3 linked regions of the Schizosaccharomyces pombe genome follow. The gene in region 1 interacts genetically with each later gene. Each region holds a gene or a part of one and is shown on either strand. Other genes may lie near its edges.

Region 1 (5,842 bases):
AAACTCTAGAAGGCTCAAATAAAAAGAGACAAACAGTCGTCCTTAAAGCTGAATGCATGCTTAAGCAGCTGGAGAATAACAATGAACTTAAGAGATAATGATGTTTGAAATGTTAATGACTTTTAATGACAATTAAATGACTTAAACAAATTATAATGAAATTATAATTAATAAAAGGTATAATTATTAATTCTAGTAAGACTGTAATGCTTGTTAAAGATAGAATTAAGCATCTAAAGGATAACTTTTCTAGTAATCTATTTTGCTCGGGAAATCTTAAAGTAATCAGTAAATACATCAGTTCCAACTTTTAATGATTCTTGAACGTCGTCCCAGGTACTACGCTTTTCCTCTTCTCGAGTTCCCCTATTTTTTTTGTCTTCTTTGAGCCATTCCAAACATGTCTCTAGAAGGGCGCTATTTCCCGTAGAGGACCTTGTCATCAGAGCACCAAACTTGGATATTGGTCCATAATCCACGATACGCCCAAGACTGAGATGGACCAAGTGAGTTGGCCACTCAGCTAAACCATCAAATATATGTGTTGCATAAACAATAGTAGCATTCCTTACTTCCGTTTCCTCTTGCAAAAAATTTAACAAATCTGCCCGGGCAAGAACATCCAAATCTACAGTTACTTCATCAAGTAAAAGTACTTCAAATGGACGCAGAAGTCCCATACATAGTTGAACACGTCGTCTTTCACCATCGGACACTGCATGCATTCGCCAACGAAGATCTATATCAAGAATTGAAATCAAGAAATCCCTACGTTCGGCAAATTTATCTCCTCCAACAGAAGCAATTAATCGTGCAACACTCATATCCCTATGTATAACAGGGTTGTTAACCCATTCTACAAACGCACACATCAGTAAAATTTGATGTTAAAAGAACTTACCAGTTCCTAAATAAACAAATGCAGAACTAGACTCACGAAAAGGATCTTTACCACCCACCGATATATGTCCTGCTTTCGCAAGCGATTTTCCAGATAAAAGTTTAAGTAAAGTTGATTTTCCTGTTTAACAAAATTCCAAGAGGACATCAGTTAGCATTTAAATATTCTTCATCAATTTCCATAACACCGCGAAACTTACCAGCTCCATTGGCTCCAACAAGTAAAGTCCTTGATCCTTTAGGAAGATCTAAAGTTACGTGATCAAGACTTAAAGGCTGCTTTGGAGAAAACGTGTAAGAGAGGTTTGAAACAGTTACTTCCATTTTGAAATAGAATGTTTTAACAGTAGTAAAATATAATTATCTAAGAACTTAGTTTTACAATATATAAAGGATCCAAAAAAAGGCGCAAATTAAATAACACTCAAACTTTGTGGGTTAGCTGGATTGTGTTTAGTACATCTGTGTATCAAGTAAAGTGTGGAGGGAATGCAGTAAAGTTGTTATAAGCAAGACCTCGTACTAATAAATTAGCTTTCCAAGTCTTTGTAAAGAACCTTTTTTAACTATTAAGTAATGCTGCCCATATTTGGAGATGCTATTAAGACCTTGAACACACATCCTGCGGAGTCTTGGAAAGAAAAATGATTAACATCGATGGAACAATTGGCAAACAATATATATAGGAGATAGAAGCAGATAACATTTGTAATCAACTACAATTTATGCTACATATTATTTGGCTTAAAACTAAGTAATAATACTTTCCTAAGGTCACCCCATTTCGTTTAAGACAACAGACAAACCTAACATTCGCATGGAATTTTTTAACAGCAGGCGGACATTTCTCAAATAAAAAAATATAAATATAATATTATTTCATTCCTGCTAAACGATTTTAGCTTTTCAACGTAGTATTGCCCATATCATTAGACTTAATATATTAAACAACAAACAAACATCGATATGGGCGAAGGGCTTTATATAACGCGGTACGTAAAATAGTCTTACCTCAAACCGTTTTCTCACACCGTGATTTTAATTGAATTAAGTATTACTATTTTTCGGTTCTTTAACCAATTGTTTTAATTAGATAGTGTACATTTTTCGTGAAAAAAAAGAACCATTAATATCAGCACTTAATTATTCACTTTAATGAGCAGCAGAAGAAATGACTACCACTATGATGGAAACGACCACCAGTATCGTAGTCCTTTGAAATCAAACGTTGATCAAAACAGTTTTTATGAATCTAGTTATAGGAGCCGACAATCCTACCATCAAAGAACAAAAACACCCAGATCTAGTTATGATTCACCCTCTTCATCTACAAATTCCAAGGAACACAATTCTCCCTATCATTATAGAGTCCCTAGCAATAATTCAACAAGAGCGTCTTTTGGGGCAGCTTCTACGGATACGAATGTAGAATTGCCGAAGATTAATCTTCCAGACTCGAGTTTGTCAAGTAAACTTCAAAGCTGCAAGTCTGCGTGCGAGAATTCATCCCAGAGTTTATTGAATGTCGAACAACAATACGCTCAACAAGTACATTTTTGGGAAAAAATTAGAACGGATATATACCGAGAAGGTCTACGTAGTGATGCAGCTGTAAAAAGCTTAAACGATTTTGTAAATAATGTCAGCTTCTAAATAAATTATTGCAATCATCGTCTGCGTACAAATCATTGAGCTTCCGCTTTGTGGATATTATTATGACTTTTTATTGAAAGTTTTATCCCAAACCCATATTTATAAACATGAATGTTTTTGTATAGCGTTTTTTTTTTTAAAAAAAAAAAATAAAAATAAAAAAACGCTTCATACACTCTAAACATTCTCAGACTACTTCGGTTCTCTCCCTTTTAACGTATAATATGCATTTTAGATTTTCTGAAGTTTCATTACGGTGAAAGTGCTGTAATGGACACAGCGTTCTAAATGTCTTCTTTTTTAATTTTCAAAAACAAACTCGAAAATAACAAATTTTCGCCTTGCATATCCAATAAACGAATATGTCTATAGCCTTGTTGCAGTCTGTCAATCGGACAAGTAAAATTAGCAAATATAGAGTCATTTCCATTACTTCCTCGATGATGGACGAGAAATCGGATCATGGAATAAAAGTCATCACTAATTATACTCTCATAAACCATGGTTTCTCCCCAAAAAGGTCGAAATCCATTTTCGTGCACAACTTTGGAACACCAACGAAAAGGAGATTCTTCCATTGAATGAACTTGGATCTCAACATAAGGGCTGAGAGTTTCAGAATTAGAAAGTTCTCTAGCTCTTCTAAGTTGTTGCCCAGATATGACATCTATTGTTAATTTTATTTTACGAGGAAGTCCTTCTTCGCCAACTGTTGTACCAATTATTCGTTGACAAGGTGGCTTTAACAAGTACCCAGTCGGAGGATCAGCTATAAACAAAGCATCATTTATTTGAAGACCTGTATCATAAGTTTGCCAGTTTAGAGCAACCATTTGCACACCCAGGCGCCAATACACCTGAGGATTAAAATTTGTACTTCCTACTCTCAATGGGCCAGGGTATACACGACACAAATAGCGTAAATTATGTTTGCTAAGTCTTGGAACCATAGCTTTTCCATGCTTTTTTATAGTCCTTTCCGAAAATGAGAATATGTGGCTATACGTTTTTGATTCCGGTAAAGAAAAATTTCGAAATTTCAATGATCGGGCATAAGGTGCAAGCTGTTGCAATTCCTGCACAATGATATTTTTCATCCGTCTTTTACCTTTCCTTAACCCTGTTAATTCTGAATTTTCTAGCTCCGATGATTCGGTAGTATCAGTCGAAGAATCAGTTATCCCAACCTTCAGTATGTCTGTCGAAAATTGGTGCAATGGTGTTGCTGAACATTTGACTTTCAGCAAAATTTTGTTCAGTAAATCTTCGGGTGAAGGAAGAACTGATTCGTTAGCGGTAACGGGTTTCATCACCAAAGTATCCCCAAATGCTTGTTTCATGTAACTAACCATTTGACGTTGTTGGTCAGGGCAGCAATGAATTTCCAAAGAAATGAATAATGGATAAGGTGAAACGACGAAAGCATATTTTCGTATAGCATCAATAACATCATTAAATTTTATCATAGAAGTAAATGTATGTCCATGACAAACTACAGGACCATTCGGTCCATCCCAGCAATCGATTTCAATACACTTGCAGCCACGCTGTAGCGAACGGATATAACCTTCAATTGAACTTTCTCCACCAAACTGCTTACCTAGTAAATAAGTGTTATGCGACGAAGAAATTAAGTATTCATTCAGTGGTCGCGACATATCTTGTATCACAGGAACTACTGGAGAATTATGAGGAGAAAGTAGAAAGGAAGTAAATTCTATCAAACCCATTTTTGAATCATCATTTGAGCAAAAAGAGACATACAAAGTCCTAATTGAGTCACTATCCAAACGAGCCTTTTGAGAAGTTGATAGAAAGTGACGAAACTGTTCCAAAGACATCTTGTCAGAGCCAGATGTATATTCTTTAAAAATATCTACAATCTCGGATCTTGTTTTTAAAAGGCTTACAAAATGCTGAAATTCTTCAAAACTTAGCTTTCCAGAATGATCAGCATCTGCCTTTTGAAATGTTTCTTCTAAAAACTCCATTGATGCATTCAAATGTAGCATTTGGCACATGCGATGCACGTCTCCTAGATCCAACTGTGCACTTTGCTCCTTTTCTAACTTTTCCCAGGGATTTAAATTCTCTGAATAATCTATCATTTTTTCACCTTGATGGCAAACGAGATTAAGTCCAATAATAAATTCATTCAATCGATAAGTTTTTAGACCTTCTAAAGCCATAATCCATTGATTATGCGCATCTAAAGTTGGAGATATCATATGCATAGCCTTTAATTTATTATCAGCACAATATATAATTGTGAACCAGCGTTTCTCGTTCTCAGAAGAAATTTTGTACTGTTCTCTATAATTACGAGCATCGCGGCCCTGTCGAATTTCTTTAATGTCATCAACACAAAGCTTCTTATAAGCTTTACCAGTATTCTTGTCCAGCATAAGATATCCAGATATAGGGTCTAAAGAGACTTTACGTTGGCGCACCTTTTTCTTGGTTATACGAAGTAAAGAGCATCCGTTTTGAATAGATTCAGGGACTATAGTAGCTAATAGCTGTCGAGAATTAAAGTTTTGATTCACCGAGCTCAGAGTAGATAAGTTTTCGTTACTATCGCATGAGTAAGGGTTCATTGAAGTATTTGTTCTCGCAGAATTCATTCGACCTTGCAAGCGTAGCAAAAGATTTAACTTCAGAGAAAGCCAATTCAATCCTCCATGGAATTTATTTTCTGAAGCTGATGTCGATTTCGTACTCAGAAAAGAAGATAAAGAATTTGATCGTTTACGTAGAGTACTATGAGCATCGCGATCCCTTGATGATAGCATCTTAAAGAAATCCTGCTCCGATTTCTTCCTATTGCCAACATATGGGAGATCCAAAGCAGCATTATCTAAGGTTTTACTCCTCGTCTGAGCAACTGCGTTTTCTGAGCAATCGGGCAGGCAAAATGGACTTACTGCTCTGTTGGAGTCTCCTAAGTTGACCGATTCAGGCGACGTTACCATTTCACAATTCATTATGATATCTATTTAAGGATTTACACCGCCATTGGCTTTTTGATCATTATGTTGATATTTAAAAGTTCTTCGGTTTTTCGGTTTTCATTCAGCAACAATACGCCGTGTATGTGTCAATAAAGATAAGTGGATAGCACTCAAAATTGCATATGAGCATAGATTCAATCCACCACTTTAAATCAAGTAAGCCTGATATTATTATAGGGACAAAAATTAGTTGTTTTCGGAACTTTTACCTCTTATATCGTAGGAGCTTACATCCGAGACTTTTGTTAACGTTAGTGGCAAGCGCGCTTTGGTTTAAT
Region 2 (2,940 bases), 970 kb from region 1:
AAAGTAAAAATTCTACATTAGAAATTTAGGGGACAGTCAGTTCAAAGGTCTCCTTTCTAATCATACTTGTAATTGAGATTGTAACATTCAGTGCAAAAGAAAAAAATGTTATTCGCGTTTTGAGCAAACCGGCAAGGTATGAATAGTATTCTTCAAGCCTTTAAATGTCAAAAACCCATCAATTTTAATTCCACCTGGTTGTTCGAAAACTAATTTCTTAGAGTTATCTTTAACACGTGCTTGAACTGTATTCCCTAGTTTAATTGAATTTGGAGGTGTTCTTTCTAAACCCGGAATTAACTACAATGACTGTCTCAAAATATATTTTCCCATATTAATAGCTTCCAATGTATTTACAGCTTTACCCTTTCGTCGAAGTCTTTGACAATAGAAATGCGAAGGAATAAATCGCTTGAGTAAGTAACTTATCATAGTTCAATTCACCTTATTGTTACATTGCAGTAAAATTGTTTTTGTTTTCTAAGTACACCTTACTTATCATCTAAAAATGGTGAGCAAGCATACGATGCATGCATTCAACTCTAGAAACTTAAACTACATATAAAACTAAAAGGTAACGTAATGGGTGAGAAGGCTGGAAAGCGTTCGAGTCTACCCTCACTTAGACTTAATTTTGTCGGACCACTCAAGCCATGAGCCAGTGTAGTTTCCAATACTAAAAGGTTAGTTTTTGAACACTGTTCTCGAAATTAAGTGGAATTGTTCACCTATACAAACATACTTTTTATAGCCGAGTTTGGTGAGAATGTCAGAAGCGGTCGTACTTCTTCTACCAGAGCGACAGTAAACTACAACGTTGTCCTCAAAAACGGGTTTGCTGAATCCATAAGTCTTGGAAAACTCCTCGTCACTAAGTTTCATGGCTTCCTCGATTTTTCCAACAGGTAAATTATAAGAAGTTTCGATTGCACCTTGCTTAAATTCATCGGGCTCACGAACGTCTGACATGTTAGCAGAATAAGTTTTAACTCACTATTGTATTGTCCTTACCAATTAAAACGGTGGATTTGTCGCCAGTTGGTCTTTTACTAAGGTTATAAACCTATTTCAAGTTAGTACCGTTAATAATTCCAAAATACTTGGAGAGTAGAGTAGCGAAGTGTAAAACTTAGCTTTAACCAGAAAACATCGCATATGAAAGCAAACGTATTCCTATGTTGGTTTACCTTTTCGAAATCAAAGATGCTGACATTCTTAACTACTGTAGAACTGTAGAAAGAGCGGGTCATCAGGAGGCGAGATACGGAAAGAGTTTTAGAAAACATTATGGGTGAAAACAAGGTTTATTACAGCTAGATGGCCCCTTTCAGCAGGCAGGTTAAATCTCAGATTCCCACAGTTGACGGTAGTGGTATAAGCGTGATCGGTGAGTAGTATGATTATATGAACGATCGCTATTACGAAATCGGCAGGTTTGAAGTGTTATAGGGGCTTGTGTTCAGAGGAATCAATAAATGAAATGGATCTTTGTATTTTCGAGATTTTTCAATAATATTTTTCTTTTTTAAAACGGTAGTTTTTAAAGTTACTATTCAAGAAAAGAGCGATTCATCCATCGGGAAAAATGAAGTTGCCGCATTTTCTATGTTTCACTTTTAAACAATTACATATTCAGTATATAAGTTCATAGAATAGAACTGTACGTACGTCTTTGGCACAGTTCTTTAAAATTGCGGATCTTTAATTGTGTATATTACTATATGGAGGTAGCATATGGATTTACCAAAAAGCATTTTATGGATAATTTGTTATTCATAAAATTATGTTTGTTGGAAATACACTGACAGAAACAAGCACTCTAATTTTCAATTGAGCTACAGTTGTTTGTTTTATCATTAGGAGAAAACAGGAATTCATACGACGCTGATTTATATAGATGTATACGTAAGTTTATTTATTTATTTTTTCTCGTCGGGCCTGAAATGCACTGTACTGTAATGTCATGGCATGCTTCAATGCTAATGTAATAGGAAAAAAATCACAGTACACAAATTTTTATGAGTGCTGATATTCTCGCAATGGAGAAACGCTAGGTTTAACGTAAGCATGATGTTTAAATTTGCCAGTACAATTAGAAAACAGGTTGTAAGTCCACCTTTGATATTAGGTCACAGTTCAAATCACTTTTGATTGTATTGCACATGATATTACGTTTACTAAGATTTCGCATCAATTTTAATATTGCAAGTTCTAAGGTAGCAGCATATTATTGAAAATTGAAATTTCAAATGGAAAAGTGATTCACATGCGTCCATTAAAATATAAAAAATAAAAAAAGAAATTTATATCTAGAATAAATTATTGTTTCTTTTAGCGGCAGAAAAACTAGTAGTAAAAATTTTATGCCAATAAATAAATATATAAAATAATGAACCTAAATAATCATATTGGCAATGTTTTCCAATTCAATCATCCGAAATGAATGATTGCAATGGATGAAGGAAAATAAAAACTTGTAAAAATGAAGGTCAGTAAGATTCAGTGTTTAAGATACCTCTCTGGTTTACAATCTTTTATGGACAAATATATGAACGGTTAATTCGATACAGTTCATCTGTTTCACTCGAATACTCAATATAATTTATTTACAATTCACCCATTAAATTAATATTTACCTTATTCATTCGCTTTCATTAATTTCATTCATTCACTTAGTCCCTTATTGTACCAACCTTGTCGCTCGGTACCGAATACAACAGTCGGCGGTTGATCATAGCTAACTAGTGCTAATAGCTAATTTCCTTAAGCAGACTTTTAATCCAACTGTGAATACCAATTACGTACTGTTTTGATTTAGTTAATATTTTCTTCCTCTTTTTTTTTTGCGCTTTTTTTCCATCGAAATCAAATATTATGAAGAATGACTTACTTCATAATTGCGATACCCGAAAACATCACTGATAAAGAGGGGATATCATA
Region 3 (3,778 bases), on another chromosome or scaffold:
TCATTTCATCTTTGCTAATTGCTGATTAACCAAATGATGAAGTTAGTGCTGAGCTTTATTTGTTTAAAAAACTTTGAGTATAAGCGAAGCGATAGATTTGGAATTGAAGTGGTGCACTGATACTCGACAATATTCCGTACAGTACATTGAAAAGTCTGATTGTAGATACTTCTTCACCAGATATCTAATTCTAAGCATACAGAAGTTGCAAGTAAATTTCCCCACTTTTCCCAGTACTCATTAAGCGCTGCATTAATTCGATTAAAAGGGCTATCTTCTTAATTAATGTTATCCGATTTCGACAATGATAAGAAGAAATGAAGGTCGCCTATTATTTCGAAATTTTAGTTTGATTCAAACATTCATGGATCCTTAGCGATAAAGGTTAGTTCCAACATTACATTAGATCCTCGGAAATAGTAAAATCATAGTAGACATTATTCAGCTTGAAATAAGCTAGCGATAAATGTTTAATATACAGGCGGTTATGAATAATAGGAAGATTTGGCGATCTAGCATATTTACATTCTTGATAGAATTTTAATATTTATAACGTAAGAGAAGGGTCAAATATAGATTATATCCATTAGCCTATTAAAATGCTCAACAAATATAACAAATTAAACTATTCATACGAATACACTAACTGTAAAGAGGCATCTATCTCATCTCAATAAGCTTGGTATTTTAGAGGTCTCAAAAACAAGAGGGCAATGATTGCAATAACATATTGTCATTCGTAAATGAACACCCCTATAATTTACCAAGCCTTAGAAAGTAAAAATAAAAACTTGAAACTTGATATCATTAAAGACTCATACGGGTTTTTGCTCGCATACTACCAGCCTTTGATGAATCCTCATGAGCACTATATTCTATAGTCTCTTTATCAGAAATCCCTAAAACTTCTTTAAAGCGCAGGCTACATGTTTGTTAGTCCAGTCAACTACCAACACGTTACTCTTAAAACTTCACATACCCGATTTTTTCCAAAACATCTTTGTCATTACAATTTCGTGTCCATACAGCGATTCTATAGAATCCTTTCCTCATATTGCAAACTACACCAGTAACTTCTTTCCCAGTAGGGTCTAATGTTTCTCCAATGGCTGCCAGCACCTATTTCCATACGTTAATACTTTCAACTTAAAAATTAACATTCTGTAAAGTCGATATCACAGCAGTTAAAATGAACAGACCATGACTTACCATATACAGCCACAACTCGTCGAGATTTGAACCTTTGTGCTTGCTTTGGTAGGCCCATTTCCCACCATTCATGTTTTGAGGATCCTCCCATTCAGGACGAATACCTTTCAAAAAGTAAGAGTAGTCCGATTTGGCGGGAAGCATCGAAGCTTTTGAGATCGTCTTAAAGATGCCCCAAAACTCTTCCACTGTCTTGAAGGAAATAATCTCTTTAAGAAGATCACTCCATTCAAGACCTTGTGTAGGTGGTTTCAAAAACCACAATGTCCATTCATGCTGAAGGGGGTGTGTTTTTACAAATGCAGTTTCAGCATTAACAGCCGATAGACCTTCAAGAAGGCGCGCTGGACGTCCCTCTCTTTCAGTTTTAACTTTTGGTGACCCAAATAAATCCAATAGATCTAGTTTTTCTGTGATTAAGGAAGTGTTGGGAAAACCCTCATTTTTTGAGTGACGCGAGTCTTCTGCATCTGCCATTTGCTTTTTTTAAAAAAACAAAAATATTAAAAGAGCTTAAAACGTTTTTATAATAGGCAGTTTGTAAACTAGGCTGGATGCTGAAAAGATGCGGTGGTCGTAATTGGGTTACGAGATCCAAGCAAAAGCAACTTTCAACACACTGTTCCTGTAAAATATAATTGTACATTCATACCTTAAATATTGGCTAAGTATATATAAAAAGTCAATAATCAGCCTTAAAGCTTTACAGTAAATTATTTGTTTGATTGGAAATGCACGAGTATAATCAAATTTCACACAGCTTTTTATCTGCATACTATTATAATTCGTGAAATCAAATTTGTTCCCCTTACGTGTCAAATTGTTAAAAATCATTTTGTAATTACAAAGATGCATAAAGCTATGTTGTATATCTAAGAATCATTTAAATCTCAAAAACAATGTTGCAAAATGTAGAACCTTTCTCCATTTCAATCAAAAAACAGCTTGATCTAGTACTACAAAAACACCACCAGTTAAATGCAGACTTCCGGTGACACAAACAAAAGTATTCCTGGATTTTTGCTTAATTGACATCACTGTCTCAATAGCTTCTTGGATGGTAGGGGCTACTGTTGCTTCACTAGTCGTGCCCTTCGATTCTTTCCACCATTTACATAAATCCTCTTGTACATGCAAAACGGGCTTATTATCAGTAATGGTATTAATGCTTAACAGCTCTGGATTATAGCCTGCATCCTTCCAGGTGACATTGGTTGAGAATATAACATGCGTAAACGAAATCCCAGTTCCCGAGCTTTCCAATCCTTTTAAGAAGGACCTAAGTAAAGCAATTGGATCATCCCTGCTTTGCTGGTTAAACAGAAGAATACGGGCATCTGCATCCTCATAAAGATTCTTCTTGGATGCGAGCCAAAGTCCAGTGGCCTCCAAACTTTCCTTGGTGTGGGCTCCATCAAAACACCATTTTATGTTGTTGATTTCCTCAATTTGGCATCTTCCAGGCCATTTTACATACTTGAGGCCGTCCAAAATTGCTGGATCCTGATATGGATCTCTATCAAAAGGGCACCCGGCCTTTTCATAGAATTCTTGGACTAAAGAAACTGCAAGGGATGTATTTCCAAGCTGATGAACTCCTGAAAGACCAATCATATCCGGCGTTAATTCAGCAGGAGGTATGACTACCTTAAGTGATGTATTTCGTTCAGCAGCACGGTTTTTTAAAACATTCATAGCCTCGGGAGCTTGCTCGCAAGTTAAGGCAATAGCTGATTCTTTGTAGATTCCAGCTTTCTGCCAAGCAATTTCTGCTATTGTGTTCCCCAACAAAGACGTGTGGTCAAGACCTAAGCTTGTAACTGCTGTGGCATATGGTTTTTCAATTAAGTTTGTAGAATCGTATTCACCACCAATCCCAACTTCAATGATAGCGGCATCGACATTCTCTGAAATGAAAACGTGCCATGCCATTAGTGTCAAGAATCGGAAATACATTGGCTTTTCCGAATCACTACCGACAGCATTCTCTAGGCGCTCCCATACATCAAAAAAATATTTAGTAAACAACTCTTGACTGATAGGTTTGCCATTTAATTGAATACGTTCACAGACAGATCGGAGGTGAGGAGAAGTGTACATACCAATGCATTTTGGAATCGACCTTTCTCCACTCTTCTGTATTTGCTGTAATATTGAGGATGTAAATGCACATGTAGAACCCTTTCCTTTAGTTCCAGCAACATGGATGACATTTAGTCGGTTCAAATCTGATGGCTGAGATTTATTAGTTAGTAAAAGTTGCATGACAGTATAGAACTATTAACAAAAAGATTTCGTAAAGAGATACAGGCTAAACCAGCCAAGTCAACAATTCCTATTGATATTTCCCTTTATAGACATGATGTGCTGTCCTTTCAATGAGATTATTATTATTAAAAATAAGGTGAAGTTAAAGAAAGGATCACAATCGAGTACTATAAAGGACATACAAATACTTGTTTCAATCTCGTTTAATCATATGCAGCGGCTTAAAATATTTGAGTGCTATTCTTTTGTAATTCCTAATTATAAGTAGTAACTTACCTGATATCCAATGCATCTAAGCCAA

What was found. A genetic interaction does not mean that the proteins touch.
Region 2: mutations in shf1 (region 1) and rdl2 together harm fitness less than expected from each alone (positive genetic interaction), as found in Schizosaccharomyces pombe (one large-scale study listed by BioGRID).
Region 3: mutations in shf1 (region 1) and tif452 together harm fitness less than expected from each alone (positive genetic interaction), as found in Schizosaccharomyces pombe (one large-scale study listed by BioGRID).

Annotation. Positions count from the first base shown.
Region 1 is NC_003424.3:4,807,481-4,813,322, reverse strand, and holds shf1 (histone H2B-K119 ubiquitin ligase complex (HULC) subunit Shf1), read left to right. Parts: upstream 1-1,914; 5' UTR 1,915-2,055; coding exon 2,056-2,553; 3' UTR 2,554-2,837; downstream 2,838-5,842. Other genes in the region: formin Fus1, read left to right, coding at 1-98; CCR4-Not complex subunit Caf16, read right to left, coding at 258-856, 902-1,021, 1,101-1,224; phosphoinositide phospholipase C Plc1, read right to left, coding at 2,838-5,537. UniProt on the Schizosaccharomyces pombe protein: Component of the histone H2B ubiquitin ligase complex (HULC) which plays a role in transcription regulation by catalyzing the monoubiquitination of histone H2B to form H2BK123ub1.
Region 2 is NC_003424.3:3,838,095-3,841,034, forward strand, and holds rdl2 (thiosulfate sulfurtransferase Rdl2), read right to left. Parts: upstream 1,377-2,940; 5' UTR 1,287-1,376; coding exon 1,188-1,286; exon of another isoform or gene 1,064-1,187; coding exon 1,012-1,063; exon of another isoform or gene 963-1,011; coding exon 743-962; exon of another isoform or gene 677-742; coding exon 619-676; 3' UTR 566-618; downstream 1-565.
Region 3 is NC_003423.3:1,132,407-1,136,184, reverse strand, and holds tif452 (translation initiation factor eIF4E, 4F complex E subunit isoform 2, stress response factor), read right to left. Parts: upstream 1,792-3,778; 5' UTR 1,687-1,791; coding exon 1,210-1,686; exon of another isoform or gene 1,120-1,209; coding exon 980-1,119; exon of another isoform or gene 923-979; coding exon 808-922; 3' UTR 566-807; downstream 1-565. Other genes in the region: met7 (putative folylpolyglutamate synthase), read right to left, coding at 2,143-3,444, 3,754-3,778. UniProt on the Schizosaccharomyces pombe protein: Recognizes and binds the 7-methylguanosine-containing mRNA cap during an early step in the initiation of protein synthesis and facilitates ribosome binding by inducing the unwinding of the mRNAs secondary structures.